3 linked regions of the Cricetulus griseus genome follow. The protein of the gene in region 1 interacts with the protein of each later gene in a biochemical or structural test. Links are inferred from orthologs where the notes say so. Each region holds a gene or a part of one and is shown in the gene's direction. Other genes may lie near its edges.

Region 1 (5,352 bases):
TCATGCAGCTTGCAAAGGTAATCTTGCACTTTGCCTTACAGCATTGCAGTCCCCAAAACGACCACGAAGCCCTGGGAGCAACTCCAAGGTTCCTGAGATTGAAGTCACGGTGGAAGGTGAGCCGTCCCACACTTTTCTCTTGATTCTTTACCTTACAGTTGTGTGGACTCAGTAACTCTGCTGCCTTTGAGGTTTTGTCTGAAAAACAACTGATGCTAAATTTATTAATTTTTTCTTTTTAATTGTTTTTCAAGACAGAGTTTCTCTGTGTAACAACCTTGTCTGTCCTGGGACTCGCTTGGTAGACCAGGCTGGCTTCAAACTCACTGAGATTCACCTACCTCTGCCTCCCAAGTGCTGGGACTAAAGGCTTGAACCACCACCACCCAGCGAATATTTTGCTTTTTAATGCATGAGTATGTATGTGTGCTCTCGAGTGTGTGTGCATGCGTGTGTGGGCGTTCATTGTTACAGGCTATCTCAGGTGTCACCCTCAGGAACACTGTCCATGTGCTTTGAGATAGGTCCCCTTTTTGGACCTTGACCTAGCTGGGTAGTCTAGACTGGCTGCTCTTGAGCCCCAGGGATCCATGTAGCTAGGGATCAAACTTTGGTGACTCAGCTACCTCCCTGGCATAATTTATGACTGTTTGTAATCTGAGGGTCCTGTGAGGGTTACTTGAGGGGAACCCCTTGGATTGTTTATCCATAGTCAGGCAGACCAAGCCCAGAGAGATGTTTCTCATCTTTTTCCTGGTGGTTTTTCCTACTTTTGATGAAATGCATTTATAGGTGGTTTGAATAACAGTGTGCTTGTTCAGAGCAGCTCTGTGTCTTCACATATATTCTCTTCCGGCCTCTGGTGTAGGCCTGTGAACTTTGGAAGCTCATTGTCTAAAACGGCTGACATAGTAACAGGCAGCCCTGAACCCTGGAACTGCTAGGCACATTGTTTTCATCGACGCAGAAGGAAGCAACTGCCTAGGGGACAGTTGATTCTTTTTGATCCTCACTTTCTGTATCCTCTCAGTTGTCCCCACTTAGTTGTCTTGCATACTTGCACAGAGCCCTTTTTCTCAAAGAAAAGGGAATCATGTTAAGTGATTAGTAAATAATGCATCCTAGCTACCAGAGTAAACAGCCCTGAGGAGCAGTGGCCCACAGGGAAGCAGTCTTCCTTGCTGCTTTTACAGAAGATCTGAGAAGGGTGACTTGTCCCCAGGACTCTGGCCCTTCCTTCCTTGTAAAGTGCAGGTGATGTTCCTTTTAGTCAAAACACTTCAACAAGAAGCCAAGTCAAACCCGGGCTGAGCCCAGGTGACCTGAGAAACATCAGCAGTGAGGGATGAACGGACGCTACGTCAGCCTGAGGTTTCATCCTAAGGTTCTGGTTCACAAAGGAGATGACACTGCCTTTGGTCTACTTGAGGCAGGGACAGAGGATGCTCTTTCCTGGACGGCAGGCATGGGAAGAGAGGGGAAGAGAGTGTTGATCATGCAAAGCCGTAGCCTGGTTGTACATTTTGTTCCTGTTTGTGCTGGATCTCAGGTGCATTTTGACATCTGTTGCCAGTTTCCTAGGGAAAGCTGAGTTGCTGAGTTTAGAATCAGAATGGGTAGGGGGTATGAGGGAGAGGAGAGGAAGGGAGGGAGAGAGAGAGAGAGAGAGAGAGAGAGAGAGAGAGAGAGAGAGAGAGAGAGAGAGAGCGCTGTATTTTCTGGTACATGGTACATGCTAACCACAGATGAGCACACCTGGTAACTGTGGTTCGCCTTTGAATTTTCTCTAGGCCCCAACAACAACAGTCCGCAAACCTCCACCGTTCGAACTCCTACCCAGACCAATGGTTCAAATGTTCCCTTCAAGCCTCGAGGGAGAGAGTTTTCCTTTGGTAAATACATCTCTTATTTTTCTTGATTTCAGCATTTCACATAAAAAGAATTAGTGTGGTGTGTCAGCAGGACAGTGGTTTTTCTTGGGTGAGTCAGTGTGTGTCAGGTACTGACATGCAGCAAGAGCCAGGTTGCCTGTGCTATGGTGTGAGTCTTCCTATAGGCCGTGAGCGAAGTGTGTACCCCAGGGGTGCCTGAGGATTGTAAGTTGGGTTACTGCATGTACCCAGAGCTAGAGCTGGCGTGTGGTAGACACTGTAACAGGTTCTTTTGTTCTTCATTTCAGCGTGGGTCACAGTGTTGGTAACCCAGTCTAACAGTTTAGTTTAGTTATATGAGGATTGGAAGGACAAGCACAGCAGCCGTATTAAGAACCTGCATGTTTCTTATATAAAGACGTAGAATCATGTATGTATACATGATGTGAATGGAGTAACACTGTCTACGGGACACGGATGCACTAGCGGGCAAGGGAGAGAGCATGCGCAGCGCACAGATTCTGTCACACAGTGACACGGTGCACATGAAGGGAACAACCTGCTGTGTGTTCTCCTGTGCTCTGTAAAGCTGCAAAATAGATGAAATATGAAGCCAGGGCATTGGCGTGCTCCTTTAGTCCCAGCACACGGGAGGCAGATAGAGTGACCGAAGAAACTATTCAGTCAATGAAACGCTAATGTGAAAATCCCTGCCCTCCCCGGGGGACCCTTGCTGACGGCGGCTGCTGCTCTCTACTCGCAGAGGCCTGGAACGCCAAAATCACAGACCTGAAGCAGAAAGTGGAAAACCTCTTCAATGAAAAATGCGGTAGGTTTGTTCAGAAGCATTGAATATGAAGTGGTTCTCTAATAGAATTGGTCTAATTTGATATTTAAATGTTTTTGGAAATGTGTGGGTTTCAGCTTTCCATTTCTACCCATTCTACTATCAAGAATTCTAAGAATATTTTACAAAATTAAAATGAATATGATTTTTCAAATAAATAAGGATTTGTAGCTGCTGCAGAGTGTTGCAAATGGCTGTTCTAAGTCGTGCTATGGAATGAGAGTGTCCTGTGTTACAGGGGAAGCTCTTGGCCTTAAACAGGCCGTGAAAGTGCCATTTGCATTGTTCGAGTCCTTCCCGGAAGACTTCTATGTAGAAGGCTTACCTGAGGGGGTGCCCTTCCGGCGACCATCCACATTTGGCATTCCAAGGCTGGAGAAGATCCTCCGGAACAAGGCCAAGATAAAGTTCATCATTAAAAAGTGAGGACCGGGGCTGGAGAGATGGCTCAGAGCACCGGTTGTTCTTCCAGAGGTCCTGAGTTCAATTCCCAGCAACTACATGGTGGCTCACAACCATCTGTAATGAGATCTGGTTCCCTCTTCTGGTGTGCAGATTTACATGGAAGCATACATAATAAATAAATAAAGTCTTTAAAAAAAAAATAGTGAGGACCTTCAGTTTGAGAAGATGTCCAAGGGCTGGCTTCACAGTGCGGTGCTCTGTCAAAGAGCTAAGTTCTTATAGGATGGAGAGACAACCCAGTGGTTAAGAGTGCTTCCTGCACAGCTTTGAGAACCTGAATTCAGATGCCAACTCCCTCATAACAAGCTGGGGGTAGCCTGGGACCATAGTGCTGGGGGTTGGGCAGAGGCTGGAGGGTCGTTGGGGCCCGCTGCCTGGGGTGGGAATGTGAGCCGTGGGTTCTGGGAGAGATCCTCTGTGAAAGAAATAAGAGGAATAGAGGACACCTGAAGCCCTCCTCTGGCTTGTGCATGCAGCACACGTGTGTACATGCAGCACAGGCCCTTTTATTTGTTTGGAGGCAGGGTGTTACTTGCATACACACTCTTCATGCATGTACCCAGGCTGCAGGCTTCTGCTCTTGGGTCTCATACTGATTCTCAGTATGTGCTCTGCCCTTGGGAAGAAAATGGCAGTGACATCAGGGTGGCCAGAGAGGGTCCAACAGCCGTAGATGCTGGTGTGATTGGTCTGCTTGGGCCCAGGTTGCTTCCAAGTGTGGCACATGATTTGCAGAGCTGCAGGCTCCAGCGATTCTTCCCTGTGTGCCTTGCTCTGAGTTAACCAGCCCATGCCCTTTTCCTCTTGATTGTAGACCTGAGATGTTCGAGACGGCCATCAAAGAGAGCACCTCTTCCAAAAGCCCTCCAAGTGAGTGTCCTTTGCAAGCAGTACCGTGACAGCGTGGCTCTTGGGCAGTCATCGGTTCTAGAGCAGCAAACACTGTGCAGTGTTGCTCTGCAGAAAGATGGGCTGTCAGAAAGTCTGCCATCTTTAGTGTCTTACTGGAATACATCCAGCATATAAGTACCTGCCCTACGGGGCCAGGCTGAGGCCAGCTCATTGCTGACGAAGCATGCGGCTGTGGGCTATTAGAGAAAATTTTGACTATGTATGTTTTGCCTAAACCCTAATCTTTCATTTTTGCTTACAGGGAAGATAAACTCATCACCCAGCGTTAATACTACTGCATCAGGTGTGGAAGACCTTAACATCATTCAGGTGACAATTCCAGGTATGATTTCTGCCTGCATCATGTAATCTTTTGGACTCCAGATTCCTTCAGGGACAGCTCACGTAGTACAGTGTGTTGTGTGCTTTGACCAAACCATCCCTCCATCAACCTGGCTGCACAGGGTCTGACCTAAATTCAGCCCTTCTCATTACTTCATGTCTCAGTTCTTCAAAAAGTCTCTGTGGAGGCTGGAGAGATGGCTCAGTGGTTAAGAGCACTGGCTGTTCCTGAAGACTCGGGTTTGATTCCCAGTACCTGCATGATGGCTCACAACCATTTATAACTACACTCCCATGGGACCTTACAACTCTACTGACCACCTTGGGCATTGGGCACACACATGTTGCATGGGCCAAACACCCATGCATATAAAAGAAATCTTTAAAGAATAAAATATTCTTTTAGCCAGGCGGTGCTGGCACACACCTTTAATTTTAATCTCTGAGTTTGAGGACAGCCAGGGCCACATAGGGAAATCCTGTCCTGAAAAACCAAAATAAGTAAATAAGATTCCTTTAATAAACAGCCTTTATGAAACAGCAAAGATGTTTGCTTAACAGGAATGGAGTTGGATCCTCTTAAGTTGGTTTTAGAACATTTTTTATTTTTCCCTTTTTTAAATTTTATGGTTATTTTTGTCTTGGTGATGTCATAATGTGGAAATACCCCCCTCCCACACACACTTTTTTTTTTTTAGGACAGAGTTTCTGTATTAGCTCTGGCTGTCTTAGAACTCACTAGGTAGACCAGGCTTGTCTCGAAATCACAGAGATTCATCTGCCTCTGCCTCCCAGGTGTTGGGACTAAAGGTGTGTGCCACCACTGTATAATTCTGGCTGGCTTGGAACTCACAAGGGATCCACTTGCCTCTGCTTCCTGAATGCTTGGGTTAAAGGTGTCCATTACCATGCCTGACTTGAAAACCCTTTCTAGAA
Region 2 (5,927 bases), on another chromosome or scaffold:
AGAACCTCTCCTTGTAGCATGACTCCTGCCCATTCTTCCCGGCCCCTTAGCTGTCTGGAACTCCCACCTGAAGGCACAGAAGGGTCTGAGCCCAGGGGTCGGTTTAGTTTGCCACCTAGAGAACTTCAGCTTCCTGTCCCTCTTATGTCCCCTCAGCGTCAGACATATGCATTTGAAACACAGACTAACCGTGGGAAAGAAGGGCTGTGATTAGGATGGGACAAGAGGGACCAGAAAATTATCATCAATCTCTGGAACCCCTGCCTAGCTGTCTTTACACCCTCAGTAGCTGCAATGCCCCATTCCAAAGGCTTGGGTCCTCCAGCTATCTGTTTTGACCATGGAGGCACTGCCTTGGTGGGTTCACCTTGAGTTTCTGTTAGACACAAAGCACTTATCTCTTAGCAGAGTCTTAAGAAATATAGGAAGGCCTTGTTACTCATGAAGTTGTGATTATTAACGAAACATACGGTAGGTAGAAACTTATTTTTTTCTTAAATTTAAATACATAGGGGGAATTCCAGCCAAACTCCTGCCCTCTTCTGAGGCTGTGAACTTCTCTTCATAGAAGCCTAGGGTAGATATGGAGAATACAGGGCTAGATACAGAGTTGCTCACCCCTGATTTGCTCCCAGATCCTTGGCTGTCTCCTGACCCTTTTAGCTCCATTAGGAGAAACATGTCCAAGAAGCTCTGTGAAGGCCTCAGTATTCACTGGAGGAAATGGATGACATCCTCTGCCTTCACTTATTTGCAGAAGAGGTCCTGTACAGACCTCTCTGGTCTTTCTTTTTCCCATTAGAATAACCACCTCCTCCCATTTCAGAAAAGAGGATGTGTGGTCATCACTCTGGTCCTGGCACTGCTTCTCTGCACAGGTGGGGGCTATAGGCCCCATTTAGCAATGATAGCTGTTTGATAATAAAAGTTGATTGTTTTTACACTTAAATAAGTGTATGAACTTACTCTTATTAAAGTCTTGGGGGGAAAGGTATCACATTTGAATGCTGCCGAAATGTATATATCTTGTTTAGAGTTTCTTCCTCAGTTGTCACGGAAACCTGTAGTTAGAAAGTAGAACTGGGCTTGTGGTGGTCAAGAAATGGGGAAGAGAAACCTGTATTTACATAATGTTCATCCAATGCCAGGAATTGGGGTGTTCATAAAGACTTTGCCCTTGAATTTATTTAATCCACTTATTTTGGTGAAGTTGGTATTAGTATTTCCATTTTACAGATGAGGAAACTAAGCTGTAATTAAGTGAAAATGCTTATCAAAGATCTCAGAATTAGGAAGTGACAGTTTCCGGTGCTTGGTGGCACATGTCCTTTAATCCTAGCACTCAGGAGGTAGAGGCTGTATCGGGTGTGTGTGTGTGTAATTTGTGTGTGTGTTGGGGGGGGGCAAATCTACGTGACTTCCGGGACAGCCTGATCTACATAAGATAGTTAAGAACCACACCACGCCGGGCGGTGGTGGCACACGCCTTTAATCCCAGCACTCGGGAGGCAGAGGCAGGCGGATCTCTGTGAGTTCGAGACCAGTCTGGTCTACAAGAGCTAGTTCCAGAACAGCCTCCAAAGCCACAGAGAAACCCTGTCTTGAAAAAAAAAAAAAAGAAAGAAAAGAAAGAAAACCACACCACATAGTGATCCTGTCTCAAGAAAAGTGTCAGCTGTGGATTTGAGATCAGGGTCTGATGAATTCTAGCTATTTATACTTCACTATTCCAAAACCATTAAAAAATGGTAATCAAAAATGTCACATATGAGCCTCAGAAAAACTGGAAGACATGAGGTCTGACGCTAGTACAAAGGCATAAATAAACCCAGATCTACATATGTCCAGAGATGTCCCAGTGTCCACCTGGAAACCCCTCAAAATGATGCCCTGATCCAAGATGGCTTCCCAAATTGCCCTTGTTAAAGATGGCCCCTACTTCCTTTTAGCGGAACTAAAAAGGCTCCGCCTAGCACCAAGATGGAAGTAAAATTTAGTCGTTTGTTTGTTGTCGTTGTTGTTGTTTCTGGTTCTTGCTGCAAACAGCTAGAACTCCAGCGACGTCCGCGAGGACAGCGCTTCTCTTGGGGGCCTCTAAAAACTCACAAACCCACGTCGGCTTTAGCGCGCATCCCAGTCTGGAGCGAACGGAAATGGGGCGGTTCCGGGGCGGTCGGTAGGCAGGGCGGGTCGAGGAGACACTTCCGCCCCTCACCAACATGGCCGCAGGCCGCGATTGCGCATGAGCAGCTGTCTATGGAGAGACCTAGATCCAAAGAGGGAGAACGCTGCCGGGGGAAATCGGCGACTGGAGCGGCCCGGGTCGGTGAGTGCGTCGGAGCCAGACGGAGCCTGGGGACGAGGTGGAGCGGCGAGGCGGGGCAGCTTGGCCTTGCTTCATTTCCCCCGGGCAGGCAGCGCCGGGGCTCGAAGCCTTTGTTTTGGGGGAGGGGGCCGTGCCTGGCTCTTTATCTCCTGCCCTGCTTTGTGGGCCGAGCTCGCTCCCCGGCCGGGAGTGCACACGTCCCGCCCTCCCGTGGTGTCCCGCCGCGGGCCGCAGCTGCCAGCCGCAGGCCTGGGGGGGGACCCCGGCGTCCTTCCCTGTCTCCTTTGCGGAGCAGCTGGGGCGCGGGGCGAGCCGGGCGAGCCGGGCGAGCGGGGCGAGCGGGGCTGGGCCGACGGGGTCACCGCGTGGGCTTCGGGGCTCGCGCCTGACGGGTGGTGCTCAGCTCCCCGAGCGCCTCCCGCTAGTTGGTGGGCCTGCAGGGAGACGCCTCGTTCTCAGGCAAGGTCCTGGCGCCTGGATTCTTTCAGAACTTGATCTTTTTATTTTTTTTGCTTTTGCTTTTGCGTCTGTGCTTGACGAGGGCGTTTGCTTGGCCCTCCTTTTGAGCGTGCAAACCACAACATCCTATGCTGATTTCCGTGTCACATATTCTTAAATGCTCAGGAAACGCTTCCGGATGTATAACCAAGATTTGAGTAAGTAGCCTACCGCCGTTGCTGGGTGGCCTGCGAAGTTGCTCTGACAGCTGTGGGCTATACAGTTGCTTCCTGTGCGTTGCCTTCTCTTCATTGCCTGCTTCTGCAGGCCATGCAACAAGCTTCGGAGGGGCTCTTCCTCCTGGCCTTTGAGGATAGAGACCTAGGTGGTCCCTAGACACTGGTGCTTGCCTCCCTTTGCAACGTTACTTTGGACGGTCAGTTTCACTTTCAGTTCCTTTTTGTTGTTATTTTTGTTACCATTTTCTTTGCTCTCGGGCTTTCCAAGGCTTATTATCCGCTAAACTAAGATTTTCTTTGGATTAGAAAGGTTTGGAGGATTTTATGGGTGGAAAACTTACAAAAATCTTGTCCTTTCTTGTTGAGAATATTTTATTGCTTTGTACTGTGCAGCTGTTTCTTTCTGGAGGCATCTGTCTGCTCAGTTCTTTGTTTTTCTGTTCTCTGGCGGGGTGTCAAGAGTCCTAAGGCAGAAACATTGTAGATGGATTCCTCCCCCATTGTCTTTTCTCCTTCAGAACCCCGAGCCTGGATTTTTTCCCCCTTCCTCCTGAGGCTTAGTTGATTTGGAGTTGTCATGGCAACATTTTAGCAACTGTGTTTCTCTACAGGAAGCCTTGATGAATAAAATAGAGGAGCCTTGAATATGATGCACTTGGGCTTTAGAGTTTGTAACAGATGCTGTAAATCTGAACTCCCCCAAAACAAGATCCCTGACAGTAGAATCATACCCAAGAGCCAAATCTAGGTTTTGTGGTTAGTGATGGTTTTCCAGTGGCAAAAAGAGGGTTCCAGTTTTTCCCTTTTGAGATTGAGGACTGGAATTTCTTTTTTGTTGTTATTGTTTTGTTTTATTTTGAGACAGGATCTCTCTGTATATACCCCTGGCTGTCTTAGAACTCAGTATATAGACCAGGCTGGCCTGGAATTCAGAGATCCACCTGTCTCTGCCTTCCGAGTGCTGGGACTAAAGGACCAAAATGCCTGGTGAGGACTAAAATTTCTTTCTTTGGTTTTTCAAGACAAGGTTTCTCTGTGTAGTCCTGGCTGTCCTGGAACTCACTCTGTAGACCAGGCTGGCCTTTAACTCAGAGATCTGCCTGCCTCTTGCCCCTGTCTCTGCCACCACCGCCCTGCTTAGAATTTCTTATTGTACAGTTTGTGTCTAAGAAGGGCACCATGGTGGGTGTTATTTGGTAGTGGTGGCCTAAACATGACCCTAACTATTCCTATGAAACTATAGTAGCTTTAGTAATACTCTATAATTGCTTCAATAATGCACCTTGAAACATACTATTTCTCGGCCTTCTAGTATAATTATCTCCTACCCCTCGGAGGTGGAATGAATATGGAGGAGCCGCCAGGCGGTGGCAGTGCTAGCCTTTAATCCCAACACTCAGGGAGGCAGAGGCAGGCAGGATCTCTGTTGGAGGCCAGCCTGGTCTACAAGTGAGTTCCAGGACATCCAGAGCTACACAGAGACACCCAGTTGAAACTAAAACCAACCAACCAACCAATAGATAAATAAATAAGGAGTAAAGAACATTATTTAAAAAGTTGCTTTTTAAAAATGTTATAGCCGGGTGTTGGTGGCTCACTCCTTTAATCGCAGCACTCAGGGAGGCAGAGGCAGGTGAATCTCTATGAGTTTGAGACCAGCCTGGTCTACAGGGCGAGTCAGAAATTTAACATTAGTTATGACAATTCGGCCTTATCTTATGCTTGTTTTTATTTTCTTTTTATTTATCCTATGTATCTTTTTACATCAAGTATTTTGATCCCATTCATTTCCCTGCCCCCTTCAAATCCATTTTGCACCCCTCCCCAAATAATATAAAATTTCAGAGAAAAAAGGGGGGAGGAATAATTTAAAATCTCATCAAGGAAGCTGAGGTGTGACATAGTGAGTCACACAGCATACCCCCTTTTTTTGTCCATATCTCTTTACTTGCAAGTGTTCATTGCAAAGAATCATTGGTCTGGTTTGAGGCCTCTGCTTTCTGCTACACTATTAATGCTGGGCCCTCACTGGAACTCCTCTTGGTTGTCCTGTTGCCCTGTGTTGTGGGTATCCTGAAGCTTTGGGTCTGAGGGTCAGGTCTTCATATGCTCCAGCAGATCATGGGTGGAGTGGGGCTATGCCGTTTCTTTCTAGCTCTTATAACTTATTAACCTGTTTCTCTTCATCTACGTTTTGCCTTGGGGCTTTTTACCTTTCTTTCATTCTATATATCTTACTTTCCTGTTTCCTCTGTCTGTCTGGCAGTGCCTGACTTCTGGCCCTGGGCTGTCCCCCTCTTACTCCCTTGTTCTCTTTTCTCCAAGCCTAGATCCTCTTACTTATTTTATCTGCCTGAAGCCCTGCCTATCCTTCTATTGTCTAGCTATTGGCTGTTCAGCTTTTTATTATACCAATCAGGTGTCTTAGGAAGGCAAGATGAAACAGCAACGCATCTTTACATGGTTTAACAAATGCAGCACATTCTTACAGAATTAGACAAGTGCAACATAAGCAAATGGAACACATCTTTGCCTAGTTACAATAATATTCCACATCACGTGCCCTGTAGTCCATGTTGGCCTTGAACTCAGAGAATTCCTGCCTGCCTTTATCTCCCCAGTGCTGGGATTAAAGGCGTGCACTACTACTGCCCAGTTTTCTGAGCCATCTTAATAGCCTGATTTTTCTTTTTTGTTTGAGGACAGCCTTGGTGTGTCAGTCCTTGCCTTTCCACCTTGTTGGAGACAGTCTTCATTGCTGCATTTGCCACCCAGCTTCCAGTATCTCTGCTTCTCATCTGTCCATCGAGGTGTACTGTGACTTACAGATGCCCTCACTACAGCATCCCTTTCTTGTGTAGGTTTTAGAACTCAGGCATCAGGCTTCTATTCCAAGAGCTTTTGCCCCTGAGTCATCTCCCCAG
Region 3 (6,099 bases), on another chromosome or scaffold:
GTGCCACCAAAAGCAAAAAGATTTAGTGAAAATACATCTCCACACTCCTTGCAAGGAAAAAGGAAAGAGCCCCTGCTTCCAACAAAGCCCTGAGGAGATCTGATGAATCATTTTACTCTCTGTCCTCTTTCACTTGTGTTTCTTTTTTTAAAAAAATAATTTATTTAACTTTATTTTATGTGCATTTATGTGAAGGTATCAGATCCCCTGGAACTGGACAGTTGTGAGCTGCCATGTGGGTGCTGGGAATTGAACTCGAGTCCTCTGGAAGAGCAGTCAGTGATCTTAACCTCTGAGCCATCTCTCCAGCCTTCACTTGTGTTTCTAATGAAAGTTTAGAATTGGTAAAATTGTGCACAAACTTTAAGTAGATTGATGTGGTGTGTGTGTGTGTCTGTCTGTCTGTGTGTCTGTCTATCTGAAGAAGTCATTAGTGAGCCATGCCTGGTGCTGCATGCCTATAATCTAGATAGCGCTCTAGATGCTAAGGCAGCAGGACAGGCCTGTCTGGGCCACCACATGAGTTGAAAGCCAGCATGAGATACACAGGGAGATACTGTCTCCAAAATATAATAAAAATTTAAAAGAGGCTAGTAATGTGCCTCAGTGGTTGAGTCTCCATCATGCAAGCCTCTGTGTTCCAAAGACTCTGATGGTTTTATGAAATTTTCTAGAGTATTTAAGCATATTGTTCTTCCTATATGAATACACATCTTTCTTTTCTTTTTTCTTTCTTTTTTTGTTTTTTCAAGATAGAGTTTCTCTGTGCTTTTGGAGGTTGTCCTGGAACTAGCTCTTGTAGACCAGGTTGATCTTGAACTCACAGAGATCTGCCCTCCTCTGCCTCCTGAGTGCTGGATTAAAGGCGTGCGCCACCAATGCCCGGCTTACACCTAGCATCCTTAAAAGCAACATAGTTACAATGCTTTTCTCTTAGAAAAAGACAATTTATTTGTAAAATTTTATTGTATGATCATGAGTGTTTGCCTGTGTGTACATATGTGCAGCGTAAGGATTCAGGCATTATGCTGTCCTGCGCCTGTCACCTGGCAGAATGCACTCAGGCAGTACCCTGGTCAGCCCAGGGTTCCATGATTGCGTAGTCTGCATGCAGGTGCAAAGGACCCCTTTAAAAAGAAAGACCCCGCCCACTTATGCTCTCTTTTCCGGTTCTCTTTTTCCAGCTCTCCCTGCTCTTCTCTCCCTGCTCTCTCTTTCCAGCTGTCTTCCCCGCGGTTCCCCTGGGGCAGGCAGGACGTTTCCTGTCTCCCTCTTCGTTTCTGTCCTCTCTGTGTGTCTCTGCCTCTTTACCTCTTTTCTTTTTCCTTCCTCCTCCCTCCCCTTTCCAATAAAACTTCTCACTTAAGCTCTGTCTGCCTAGCATGTCCGTCCCTGTCCCCCTGCCACCCTCCCCCTGCTTCCCGCCTGGTCACCCTTGCCTGCCATGGAATCCACCAAGGTCCCCCATGCAAGGTTCCCTTCAAGCTTTATCGCAACATGTACCACTTGCATGTCTGGTGTCCATGGAGGTCAGAAGAAGGCGCCGAATATCCTAGAACTGGAGTTACGGGTGGGTGCAAGCCATGGTATGGGTGCTGGAAACGGAAGGCTGCAGGTTACATCACTTTTACCTGGTGCCATCTAAAGGGAATCATCTGTGGAAACCGTAATGGGAGCGAGAGCCGAAGCACTAATATACTGTAGTAAAACGGTTTTCAACTTGGAAACAAAGCTTCACTCCTTTATAACCCAGACAGTAAGGCATGAACTAAATCAGTCGAATGGCAGCTATTGTGTGTTCATGAGTACAGGTGAACCCACCAATGTTCTTTTGTCTACAGACCTGAATTGGTCAGCTTTTGAAAAAAATTACATTTATTGTTCAGGAAACTGGGAACTGAAAGTCCAGTATCTGCCTTAGTGAAATTCTGGTACCTGAATGATTCCTTCTGAGAATATCAGGGTCAAGAGTTTCACAGACATTTTTGCCATTTACAGATTCTGGCCGTGTGTCATAAAAAGGTTAAGTAGTTTAGAGTGGTGTCTAGACATTGCTAAACAACCTAGTATATGTCGTGGATTATCTAGAACATTGGTTCCCTTATGTAAGAAGCCAGGCTTTGTTCAGTGTGCATTCACTGATTCTGAAATTTGACAGAGTTGGGGACTTTGGAAGAAGGAGGTCAGGAAAAATGTTTCCTTGCTAGTGTTGCACGTGAGGGTTTCATTTAAAACAGGTAGCAGGGCAGAGGTAGAACCAGGAGGGATTAGAGATGACTATGCTAGATCCTCAAAACCTTGCATTATCCACAGCACCCAGGTGAGATCTGGAGAGAGGAAGCCATGGCTGCAGTGATCCTGGAGAGCATCTTTCTGAAGCGCTCCCAACAGAAAAAGAAAACCTCACCTTTAAACTTTAAGAAGCGCCTATTTCTCTTGACTGTGCAAAAACTTTCCTACTATGAGTATGACTTTGAACGTGGGGTAAGTTTCCCAAACGTGAAGTCTGGATTTCTCCATTTCAAGGATTGGATCTTAGATATGTGAGACATGAGATAGGTCATCCATGGTAGAAGGGGAGGTGTATGTGGGGGTAGAAATAAAATAGACTTAAGTACTTCAAACTCTTAAAAAATATTTCTTAGACTGGGAGTAGGTGCAGTCAAGCCAGGGAAAAATTCAAGAGTGTTAGAAGCTGTTCAGAGTGTCTTCCATGGAATCTTGCGGTTGGTAAAAGCTCTTTACATGCCTCTTGAGAATACAATCCAAGGATTCAAAGTTGCCTTTTTTATTTCTATTCCCTGTTGTCATTTTGTTTGGTTTGGTTTTTTGGTGGTGGTGGTGGGTTTTTTTGTTGTTGTTTTGTTTTTTGTTTTTGTTTTTGTTTTTGTTTTTTGAGACAGGGTTTCTCTGTGTAACAGTCCTGGCTGTCCTGGAACTTGCTTTGTAGACCAGGCTGCCCTCGAACTTACTGAGAACCCCTGCCCTTCAGTGCTGGGATTAAAGGTGTGTGGCACCACCACCCAGCCTGCCTTTTTTGTTTCTTGTGACGAAATTGACTATAATCATTTATTCTTCCTTGTCATCTTCCTCCTATTTGGTATTTAAAGACTAGATAAATGTTGGATTATTTTTTACTTTAAAAATGACAGGTTTTGCCAGGTACAATGGCACACACTAATGCCAGCACTCGGGTCTACATAGTGAGTTCCAGGCCAGCCAGGGCTACATAGTGAGACCCCAAACAAAGAGAAACCAGGATCTGTTAGAATATGTGAGCTACCTACCACAGAGGATGATAAGATAACAATGTGTGTAAACGTCTGAACGCTTGATCATTCTTAATCTTCCTGCGTTTTCTTCCTCCTTCCTTCAGAGAAGAGGCAGTAAGAAAGGTTCAATAGATGTTGAGAAGATCACCTGCGTTGAGACAGTAGTTCCTGAAAAAAATCCTCCACCAGAAAGACAGATTCCGGTAAGAAGCTAGTGTCAAAGAGGGGGAGCTGCAGTTTGTAAGGCGCTTGGAACTTGCAAATACTCCAAATAGAATGGTGGTGTTGTAGTGCATTGTAGAACAGTTTTGTTTCTTTAGAAACTCTTCATCAGGAGCCAGTGAGATTGCCAAGTGGGTAAGGGAAATTGCTGGCAAGTCTGATGACTTGAGTTCTATCCCTTGAACCTCACACAGTGGAAGGAGAGAACCAACTCCTGAAAATTGTCTGCTTACCTCCACATGAGAACTGTGGTACGAGTGTGGACACACACACACACACGAAACACATAGAAAGCAAAAATGTAAGAAAGAGAAAGAAAGGAAGGAAGAAAGAAAGAAAGAAAGAAAGAAAAGCTTGTCATTTAGGCAATGGTTCAGTGGTAAAGTGCTTGCCAGGCAAGAATCCCCAGAACCCACCTAAAGCCAGACCCAGGAGTGTATTCGCACCTGAAATCTCAGCCCTCCTGTGGCAACATGGGAGGTGGAGACAGGAGAATTCTAGAAACTCAAGGTCCAATTAGTCTGGCATATGCAACGACTGAAAAAGTGACCATGTCTCAAAGAAGGTGGAAGATGAGGACTGACACTGGAAGCTATCCTCTGACCCCCACAGGCATGCTCTGGAAAATAAGTACGTACAGACAGACAAACAGACAGACAGACAGACAGACAGACAGACAGAAAGAGAGAGAGAGAGAGATTAAAAAAGAATTTGCCAAAAGAGAATTTGCTTGCTTTTTTTGAAAATATATTTTATTTTTAATTGTGTGTGTGAGTTGAGTGTGTGCATTGTGTGTATACAGAGGCCAGTGTGTGTGTGTGTGTGTGTGTGTGTGTGTGTGTGTGTGTGTGTGTGTGTGTTGAGTGTGTGCATTGTGTGTATACAAAGGCCAGCGTCAGATCCCTGAGTTAGAATTTCAGGTGGTTGTGAGTGGACGTGTCTTCTTGGGACCAAGCTTGGATCCTCTGGGAGAATAGTTATGTACTCTTAACCAGTGAGCCATCTTTCCAGCCCGAAAAGTCTTCAGTCTTCCATGAATTGGTGATAACAAGTCAGCTTTATTCTTCCTGAATTCCCAGGCTGTTTCCAAGGAATAGCACCGGATGATTACTGAATTGATTTTTTTGTCATTTTATTTTTCCTGTTTATAAGATTATGCATATCTAGGATAGAAAATGGAAAAATATAGAAATCACAAAACTAAGATAAAAAGATATATAAACCCATTATTCATTTAAATAATAATTATCATTCTGGTATATACAGGTTTAAATATGTTTTCTCCACTAGCGATACACATGCACCTATATATTATATAACTAGAATACAATGCTACTATATATCTTGCTTTGCAAGCTACCTGTATTTTTGGGGGGAGGGAGTTGGCATTTTAGATTTATTTATTTATTTTCTGGGTGTGTATATGTATGTATAAGTGTGTGTAAATGTATGTAAACCTGTTTGTGTGCATGTGGAAGCCAGAGGTCCAAGTCAGGTAAGTGTCTTTCTCTGTCCCTCTCCTTCTTCTTTTCCCTTTAAAATGTTTTAATTAATTATCTATCTGTCTATTTGAGACTATGGAGCCCCCTGAGTGCTAGGATTAAAGGCGTGCATCAGCATGCTTGGCTAAACTTTTGATGTATCTATCTGTCTGTCTATATGTAATCTGTCTATCAATTTCCACTACGGAGTTCCTGGAGAGTGAACTCAGGTATTCAGGCTTGGTGACAAGTGCCTTTACACTCTGAGCCAGTTATTTGGCCCTTTATACCTTATTTTTTGTTCTGTTTTGTTTTTTTTGTTTGTTTGTTTTTTAGGCAGGGTTTCTCTGTGGCTTTGGAAGCTGTCCTGGAACTAGCTCTTGTAGACCAGGCTGGTCTTGAACTCACAGAGATCTGCCTGCCTCTGCATCCTGAGTGCTGGGATTAAAGGTGTGTGCCATCAATGCCCAGCTCCACCTTATTTTTTTAACTACTTTATTATTTTATGTGTTTGGGTGTTTTGGCTGTATGTTTGTCTGTGTACCATGTGTGTGTGCAGTACCTGAGGAGACCAGAAGGGGGAAGGCAGATTCCCTGGAACTGGAGTTACAGACTTGTAAGTTGCCGTGTTGGTGTTAGGCATCAAACCTGGGTCCTCTGCAAAAGCAGCCAGTGTTCTTAACTGCTGAGTCATATCTTCAGCACCCCACCCTTATTTTTTTAAGGTTATTATTTTGTGAATGTTTGCATGCATGGCACCACATACATGCCTGGTATCTGGTGCCTGTGGAGGCCAGAACACTGCATCAGATCTAGTGTAGGATCCTATGGAACTGAAGTTACAGGCAATTGTGAACCTCCATGTAGGTACTGGGAACCAAATCTGAGTCTTTTGAAGGTTAACAAGAGCTTTTGACTGCTGAGCCATCTTCAGCCCCAAACATTTTTAAGGTACTTGAGTGTTTTGCCTGCATGGATATAAATGCAATTTGTGCATGCCTGTTATGAGTGGAGGCCAGAAGAGGGTGTTGGATTCACTGGACCTGAAGTTACAGGTGTTTGAGAGCTGAGGTGTGCATCCTGATAGTTAAACCCCCTCCTTTGCCAGATTAGCCAGATCTTAG

What was found. The genes of interacting proteins can lie anywhere in the genome.
Region 2: the proteins of Gtf2i (region 1) and Usf1 form a complex in vitro, tested with the Homo sapiens proteins (2 studies listed by BioGRID). The link is inferred for Cricetulus griseus from reciprocal best matches to the Homo sapiens genes GTF2I and USF1.
Region 3: the proteins of Gtf2i (region 1) and Btk form a complex in vitro, tested with the Homo sapiens proteins (4 studies listed by BioGRID and IntAct, with this or other methods). The link is inferred for Cricetulus griseus from reciprocal best matches to the Homo sapiens genes GTF2I and BTK.

Annotation. Positions count from the first base shown.
Region 1 is NC_048597.1:113,345,060-113,350,411, reverse strand, and holds part of Gtf2i (general transcription factor II-I), read left to right. Parts: intron 1-41; coding exon 42-116; intron 117-1,790; coding exon 1,791-1,892; intron 1,893-2,634; coding exon 2,635-2,700; intron 2,701-2,956; coding exon 2,957-3,140; intron 3,141-3,997; coding exon 3,998-4,053; intron 4,054-4,336; coding exon 4,337-4,417; intron 4,418-5,352. UniProt on the Homo sapiens protein: Interacts with the basal transcription machinery by coordinating the formation of a multiprotein complex at the C-FOS promoter, and linking specific signal responsive activator complexes.
Region 2 is NC_048598.1:21,482,049-21,487,975, reverse strand, and holds the start of Usf1 (upstream stimulatory factor 1), read left to right. Parts: upstream 1-2,171; 5' UTR 2,172-2,326; intron 2,327-2,950; exon of another isoform or gene 2,951-2,982; intron 2,983-3,022; exon of another isoform or gene 3,023-3,200; intron 3,201-5,927. Other genes in the region: Arhgap30 (rho GTPase-activating protein 30), read left to right, coding at 1-210.
Region 3 is NC_048604.1:45,525,150-45,531,248, forward strand, and holds the start of Btk (tyrosine-protein kinase BTK), read left to right. Parts: upstream 1-2,343; coding exon 2,344-2,484; intron 2,485-3,376; coding exon 3,377-3,475; intron 3,476-6,099. UniProt on the Homo sapiens protein: Non-receptor tyrosine kinase indispensable for B lymphocyte development, differentiation and signaling. Binding of antigen to the B-cell antigen receptor (BCR) triggers signaling that ultimately leads to B-cell activation.